Linked DNA regions of Oryctolagus cuniculus. The protein of the gene in region 1 interacts with the protein of each later gene in a pairwise test. Links are inferred from orthologs where the notes say so. Each region holds a gene or a part of one and is shown in the gene's direction. Other genes may lie near its edges.

Region 1 (4,498 bases):
AAGCAGGAAGATCCCTGAGATCACGCCTAATGCGTTCATATTCTTGCCTCATATGTACATTAATTAAAGAGGAATTTTATTGTTATAGGGCTCAAAACACATAAAATTCTACCTGCAGTAGAAAACTCAAATTTAATATAAAAACGGGAGGCTTAAGTGTATCAGAGATTAATACATGAAAATACAAATTGTTTAAAAGGCAAATATATGAAGTTAACTGTCTTTTCCCTGAAAGAACATCCGCATGGTAGATTTGTATGCTTGTAAGGCCAGCTGAGTGACAGCTACTTCTGGGTCTACTGGGATTTTTTTCCTTTTATTTATTTACTTTTAAAGATTTATTTATTTATTTATTTGAAAGGCAAAGTTACAGAGAGGCAGAGAGAAAGCGAGAGAGAGGTCTTCCATCCACTGATTCACTCCCTAGATAGCTGCAACGACTGGAGCTGTGCCCATCTGAAGCTGGGAGCCAGGAGCTTCTTCTGGGTCTCCTATGTGGATTCAGGGGCCCATCTTCCGCTCCTTCCCAGGTACATTAGCAGGGAGCTGTATTGGAAGTGGAGCAGCTGGGACTTTAACCGGCACCCAAATGGGATATTGGCACTGCAGTTGGTGGCTTTACCTGCTACGCCATAGCACTGGCCCCTCTTTTTATTTTTTTGGAGATTTATTTATTTATTTGAAAGGCAGAATTACAGAGGTGGGGGAGGGGTGGAGAGGAAAACAAAGATATCTTCTATCCACTGGTTCACTCCACAGATGGCTGGAATTCCATCCAGGTCTCCCACATGGATATAGTGGCCCAGTATTTATTCCATCTTCTGCTGCTTTCCCAGACACATTTGTAGGAAACTGAATTAGAAGTGGAACAATCAGGACTGAAACTGATGCTCACATGGGATTCTAACATTGCAGGCAGAGGCTTAACTTGCTGTGCCACAATGCCAGGCCCTACTGGGAATTTTTCTAATGATTCTGGGAAATCTGCATCTTTTTTGTTTGCTTTTTCTGTTTTCATTTTTGCTGACAAGTGTTCCAGTGACAGTAGTTGTCCTAATATTCATTGCTTCCCTCTTCTTAGAGAATCCTGATTTTTTGATTGGACATTTGGCCACTCAGAGAAAAGATGCATTCCTCAGGTTTCCTTGTAGAAACCATGTGACTAAGTTGATGTAAAAATACATATAATATATGCAGGCTAAAGGGCTGTGAAGGGGAGAGAGGTGACCTTGAAAGGGAATGTGTTCTCTCCTTCCTTTCCCCATTTTCTCAGTTGGGATGTAGGTGCTGTAGTGAGCTGCATGGGCCATGCAGACACCTCAAATCCTCCTCTATGTGGCTTGAGTCCTGGAAAAATGCTGGTTTAACATTGAGAGTGTCATTCATGTTATCAACATACTTGTAATATTGTATATCAAACTTCTGACTTTAATGCATGTTCTACCTACAATCTGAAAATCTAGAATATGAGAAGCATTGTACAGCCAAATGAACAAGATAATGGGCATCAGAAAGCATACTGGCCACCATGTTTATCCTGAATCTGTGAGTAACCCATGAAAACAAAAAGATCGTCTCCAGGATGACAGGAATAGGAGTTGGCTACATTTGATTTTCTTTGCTGTTTGCAGCACACCCAGCACTGCGCTGCTGTGGTGGGGTTCAAGGGCCTTCAGTTCTCGCCAGGTTTTCCCCTCCATTGTCTTCCAGCCCTGTGTCTGATCCTCCTCCTGCTATGGGAAAATGGCAGCGGAGAAATTATTATTACCTCGACTCTTGGTCTCACATGGAAGAATTTCCAAGCAAACAGACAAAGATAAAAGCTAGATTTAAAGGTTTAAAGCAAGATTTATTAGAGCCAAAGACCTCCAGCCACAGTGGCATGGAAGAGGGCTGCAAGAGAAGCAGAACCCAAAGAACCCATGGCACTAGGGTTTTTAAGTACAATTTTTGGGACAAGACTGTCAATAAGGTGGGGAAAACACCAACAAAAGACCTGATTTACAATTCTTTATCCTGTCTGGCTAGCTCCTCAACAATCACAAGGGTGGGATACCTGATTTGTTTTCACAATACACTGGGAGCTCAGAAGGGTGGAGTCACCACTCCCTTGCTATTCTCATGATAAGATTGGAAGCTCCCAAGGAGTGGGCAGGCAGGCACTTCTGATCTTGCTAAGGATAACTTTTTGGGAGGGATATTTTCCACCTTCAGTTTCCAGAGTGCCTATTAACTCAGGACTTCTTACACTCCTGTCCCTGTGATGCCCACATTCTGGAAGCCTCCATGAGCTGGCATGCCTGGCCCTCCCTTGTCTTGTGAGAGGAAGGCAGCCAGTATCACTGCCCCAGATTTACAGACAGAGCAACTGAGTCATTTTTCTATTGTTGTTGGACCAAAGTTATCCAGTGAGTCATTCTCAAGCCTGAGAACCGGATCCTAATGCTTGTTCCTGGCGCCATTCATGGAGCTGAATTCCACCAAGGGTTCAAGAGGATGCTGGACATTGAATGGCTCAGAGAGGAATGTATTTGCATGTGACTGAGGCAAAAACAAGGATTAACTCTCTTGACACCTGCATGCTTGAAAAAGAAGGGGAGAGAAATGTATTTGTGTACCGTATTATCACCATCATACCAACATCCTTACTCTTTCTCTAAATGCCCTGCAACTTCTTTGTTTTATGGCTTCCTTTGTACTTCATTTTTAAATTAAAAAAAAAAATCTTAATTGCAATTGCTTCATCTTGCAGCAGGGTTATTTCTGTGGATTTAGATCTGAGAGGAAACTAAATTTATTTCCTTTTCACAAGAGAATCTTTAAATTATCTGGCAGAGTTAAAAAAAAAAAAACCTTGCTTCTGTAATAAAATTAGAAATGCAAGCCATTCCAAATACAAGCTGTTTGTATTTACTAGGAAGATGCTTTTTATGTAGCATTTTTCTGCATAGTTTAGAATTTCCTAATTTTTTCTCTTACATGGTGTTTTTCTTGAATTACCTGTCATCCTGCTTATTCATCCCCTTCCTGACTATTCAAGCTCAGGAAGTGAGAGGCACAGGTGTGTCTGTAATGGTAACCGCAGGGTTCTAAGCAGCTATCACAGTTGAAGGCAAGTTGCAGTCTTCTACATTCAACTTCATGGCTATAGGAGAAGGTAACATTTTAGAAAGCAAAATAGAATTATTTCTTTCTTTCTTTCTTTTTCTTTTCTTTTTTTGACAGGCAGAGTGGACAGTGAGAGAGACAGAGAGAAAGGTCTTCCTTTTGCCGTTGGTTCACCCTCCAATGGCCGCCATGGCCGGCGCACTGCGGCTGGCGTACCGCACTGATCTGAAGGCAGGAGCCAGGTACTTCTCCTGGTCTCCCATGGGATGCAGGGCCCAAGCAGTTGGGCCATCCTCCACTGCACTCCCGGGCCACAGCAGAGAGCTGACCTGGAAGAGGGGCAACCAGGACAGAATCCGGCGCCCCGACCGGGACTAGAACCCGGTGTGCCAGTGCCGCTAGGTGGAGGATTAGCCTATTGAGCCGCGGCGCCGGCTGCAAAATAGAATTCTTACTAGGAATCTAGGAATCCTCATGGTTGCCTTTGTTTAAAATGTTTATCTGTGTGAACTCTTTAGTCCCTCCCAGGACCCCCTGAGTCAGGGTCCTGGAAGATACATCCTGGAATCTGCATTGTATTAAGCTTCCAGAGGTTCCTACATTCACTGGAATTTGAGAGTCTGCTTTGAGGGTTCTATGGGTGGTCTTCAGGTGCCTTGTGAAGCCCCTCAATGTATATATAAAGTGTCATGTGGGTTTGTGCATTTTTTAAAAAAAAATTATTTATTTATTTGAAGGAGTGGTAGAAACAGAGAAGAAGAGATCTTCCATCTGCTGGTTTATTCCCTAAATACCCCCAACAGCTGAGGCTGGGCCAGGCTGAAGCCAGAAGCCCAGAACTTCATCTGGGTCATCCTTGTGAGTGACAGGAATGCAAATACTTAGACCATTATCCACCACCTTTCCAGTAGCATTGGCAGGGAGCTAGATCAGGAGTAGAGGAGCTGGAACTCCAACCAGCACTCCAGTGTGGGATGCTGGCGTCCCAAGTGATGGCTTAACTTGCTGAAACATAACTCCTGCCCCTACTTGCATTTTTCTGAGGGAGATTCTCAAAGGATTTTGTGGCTCTAGCAAAGGTTAAACCCCAATGCATAATGTTTAATAAAGAGAAAAAAAATCTAATCTCATTAGTATACATGAGAGTGAAAATTAAAACAAGATTATCACATTGAATCCACAAATTTTTTAAAAAAATCATTGGTTGACAAAGATGTAGAGAAATAGGAATCCACACATTGTTAATAGTACAGACATTTTGGGGGAACAATTTGATGATAGTGAAACTTAAAATACATTCTGTTTACAGTCCATCAAGTACACTTTTAAATAAATACCAACAACTCTTGAACATAAGAACATGACATGTTTAAGAATAATCTTTGGGGGG
Region 2 (2,712 bases), about 37 Mb from region 1:
TCTGCCTTTAAGATAAATGAAAATTAAGAAAAGTTTTTAAAATATGAATAAAATTATTAAATTTGAAAGGATTAAACTTTGAAATTTGATGGCAAGTCCCACCATCATTAGCATTATTTGGCTGTTACTTTTTCATATAACCTCTGCAGATCCAGGAACACCACATTTCTTTTCCTTCATTTTATTTGAGAGGCACAGAAACAGAAAGATACATGAGATACAGGTGTCCCAAGTGGCAGCTTAACTGTTGAACACAATTCTTTTGATTTTTTTAAACATTCACTTAATTTATCTGGAAGGCAGAGTTAGAGAGAGAGAGGTCTTCCATCTACTGGTTCACTCCCCAAATGGCCACAACAGCCGAAGTCAGGCAGGAGCTTCTTCTGGGTCTTCCACATGGGTGCATGGGCCCAAGCACTTGGGCCATCTTCCTCTGCTTTCCCAGGTGCATCAGCAGGGAGCTGGATCAGAAGCAGAACAGCTGGAACTCAACCAGGTGCCCATATAGGATGCCAGCATTGCAGATGGTGGCTTTACCCGCTGTGCCACTATGCCAACCCCAGTTCTTTTGATTTTTATTTTCATTTTTATTTGAATAACAGAGACATACAGTCACAGATCTTCCATCCACTAGTTCACTCTCCAAATGCTTACAACATCTGGGGCTGGGCCAAGCCAAAACCAGGAGCCTGAAATCCAATCTGGGGTCTCCCACTGGGTGGCAGGGACCCAAATTGGGCTGTCATCTGCTGTTTCCCAGGGACTCAAACCCAAGCACTCAGATATGAGATGCAGGCATTCCAAGTGGTGTTTTAACCACTGCTCCTATGTCCATCCTTCTAATTAATTCTTGATGAGACTTTTATCTGAAACTTGATGTCTCCATCATTATTTGTTATTCCAGTTTTGATTAGTAGAGGCACAACTGGTATAAGTACTAGTTCTCTTTTCCTTATAGTTTATGATGTGCCCCTGTTCATCAGCCAGAGAAACTTCTGACTAGAAGGACTTAAGCAAAGGCAGCAGTCTGGTTTTTTTTGGTTTTTTTGTTTTTTTTTTTTTTTAAGCAAGATTTATTTACGTCAGAGACCTCCTGGCAGAGTTGCCAGTAGGTGGGCTCCAAGAGAGGCAAAACCCGGAGGGTTAGTGGTTTTTAAGCACAATTTTGGGGGAAAACAAAACAAAACAACAAACCCTTGACAGTCAGTAACATGGTGGGAACAAAACCCATCAAAAGATCTGATCTGTAGTCCTATTTGCCTTCTCTGGCCTGTGCATGATAAAGCAAAAAATGGCAAAGGCAGTCTTAATCCGGCTCTAGGAGAAAGCCAGGCCTTTTCCTGTAGCTGAGTAGCTTCAGTGGTCTTAGGGTAGAGATATTTTGAAGGGGGCTTGTGTGTTTCCATTCGTCCTCCCACTTACAACTGTTTTCCTTGTGTTCTCTCATCTGTAGCGGCCTTCCTCACCCAGTCTGTTTGTCTAGATGATACAACAGTCAAGTTTGAGATCTGGGACACAGCTGGGCAAGAGCGATACCACAGCTTAGCTCCCATGTACTACAGGGGTGCCCAAGCTGCGATTGTTGTTTATGACATTACTAATCAGGTAAGTGGGCTGAGAACACTTAGGTGGGCGAGACAAAAGAGCTTCCTGATATAGCAAAATACGAGTACAAATTATGCTTCCAAGCGCCAAAAACGTTGGAAGGAATGACTTAGCAGAGACCCATACTTTTAGTGAGAGAAGGTTCCTAGAAGAGGTGACTTTTGAGACTGTTTTAAAGGTTATGGATGTGGACTGGCAGTCATTCCAGCACACTCATTCTCTTCTTGTTTTCCTAGGAAACATTTGCCCGAGCAAAGACATGGGTAAAGGAACTACAGAGGCAGGCCAGTCCTAGCATCGTTATTGCCCTGGCGGGGAACAAAGCTGACCTGGCCAACAAGCGCATGGTGGAGTATGAAGTAAGATGGCCTGCAGAGTCCCCTCTAACACACTTGCTGTATACCTGGGGCCTCTCCTTCCCAAGCCAGCTCTCTCTGAAAACCTTATCTAAGGACATTCATTGTCTCATTCCTCTGTTCCTCATTAAGTTACATACAACAACACTATAACACTGATGACAACCAGGGGATTGTAAGAGTCAGAAGAAAATTCCAGAGCACAGTGTGTTAGGGAAGTAACAAGCTGTGGGGGTACCAGTGTGAAAACAGGAAAGAGGGAGCCACTGAATTTTATGTAAAGGACTGTTCAAGTGTCAGAATCCAAAAATCCCCAACCAAATTATCCTCTCCCCTGTAATTAAGCTTCCTGGCATCTGTTTGTTGAACTGAGTGGACATGGGTTTATCTTGAGGGAGTCACCACCAAATTATGGGTCCAGGGCCAGTTGGTACAAAGGGGCATTAATTAAGGGGAGGGAACCTAGAATATTGCCTAACTCTGGTGCTACAAGAGAGCAGAAGGGCAACACTTGTTCCCACCTTACATTCTGAGCACCAATACACCCCACCCCTTGCAGGAGGCCCAGGCATATGCAGATGACAACAGCTTATTGTTTATGGAGACTTCAGCCAAGACGGCTATGAACGTGAACGATCTCTTCCTGGCAATAGGTAAGGTCAGAGCAGCCTCAGGCCCTCCTGTCTTTTCCCCTTCTCTGTAGGTAAAATCATCACTAGTTCAAAACAAGGATAGGTGGGAATGTCTCCTC

Evidence for each region.
Region 2: the proteins of EEA1 (region 1) and RAB5B interact in binary tests that used the Homo sapiens proteins (3 or more experiments, as listed by UniProt). The link is inferred for Oryctolagus cuniculus from reciprocal best matches to the Homo sapiens genes EEA1 and RAB5B.

The regions. Positions count from the first base shown.
Region 1 is NC_091442.1:96,147,665-96,152,162, reverse strand, and holds the start of EEA1 (early endosome antigen 1), read left to right. Parts: upstream 1-1,513; 5' UTR 1,514-1,528; coding exon 1,529-1,545; intron 1,546-4,498. UniProt on the Homo sapiens protein: Binds phospholipid vesicles containing phosphatidylinositol 3-phosphate and participates in endosomal trafficking.
Region 2 is NC_091442.1:58,781,408-58,784,119, forward strand, and holds part of RAB5B (ras-related protein Rab-5B), read left to right. Parts: intron 1-1,453; coding exon 1,454-1,605; intron 1,606-1,841; coding exon 1,842-1,964; intron 1,965-2,520; coding exon 2,521-2,614; intron 2,615-2,712. UniProt on the Homo sapiens protein: The small GTPases Rab are key regulators of intracellular membrane trafficking, from the formation of transport vesicles to their fusion with membranes.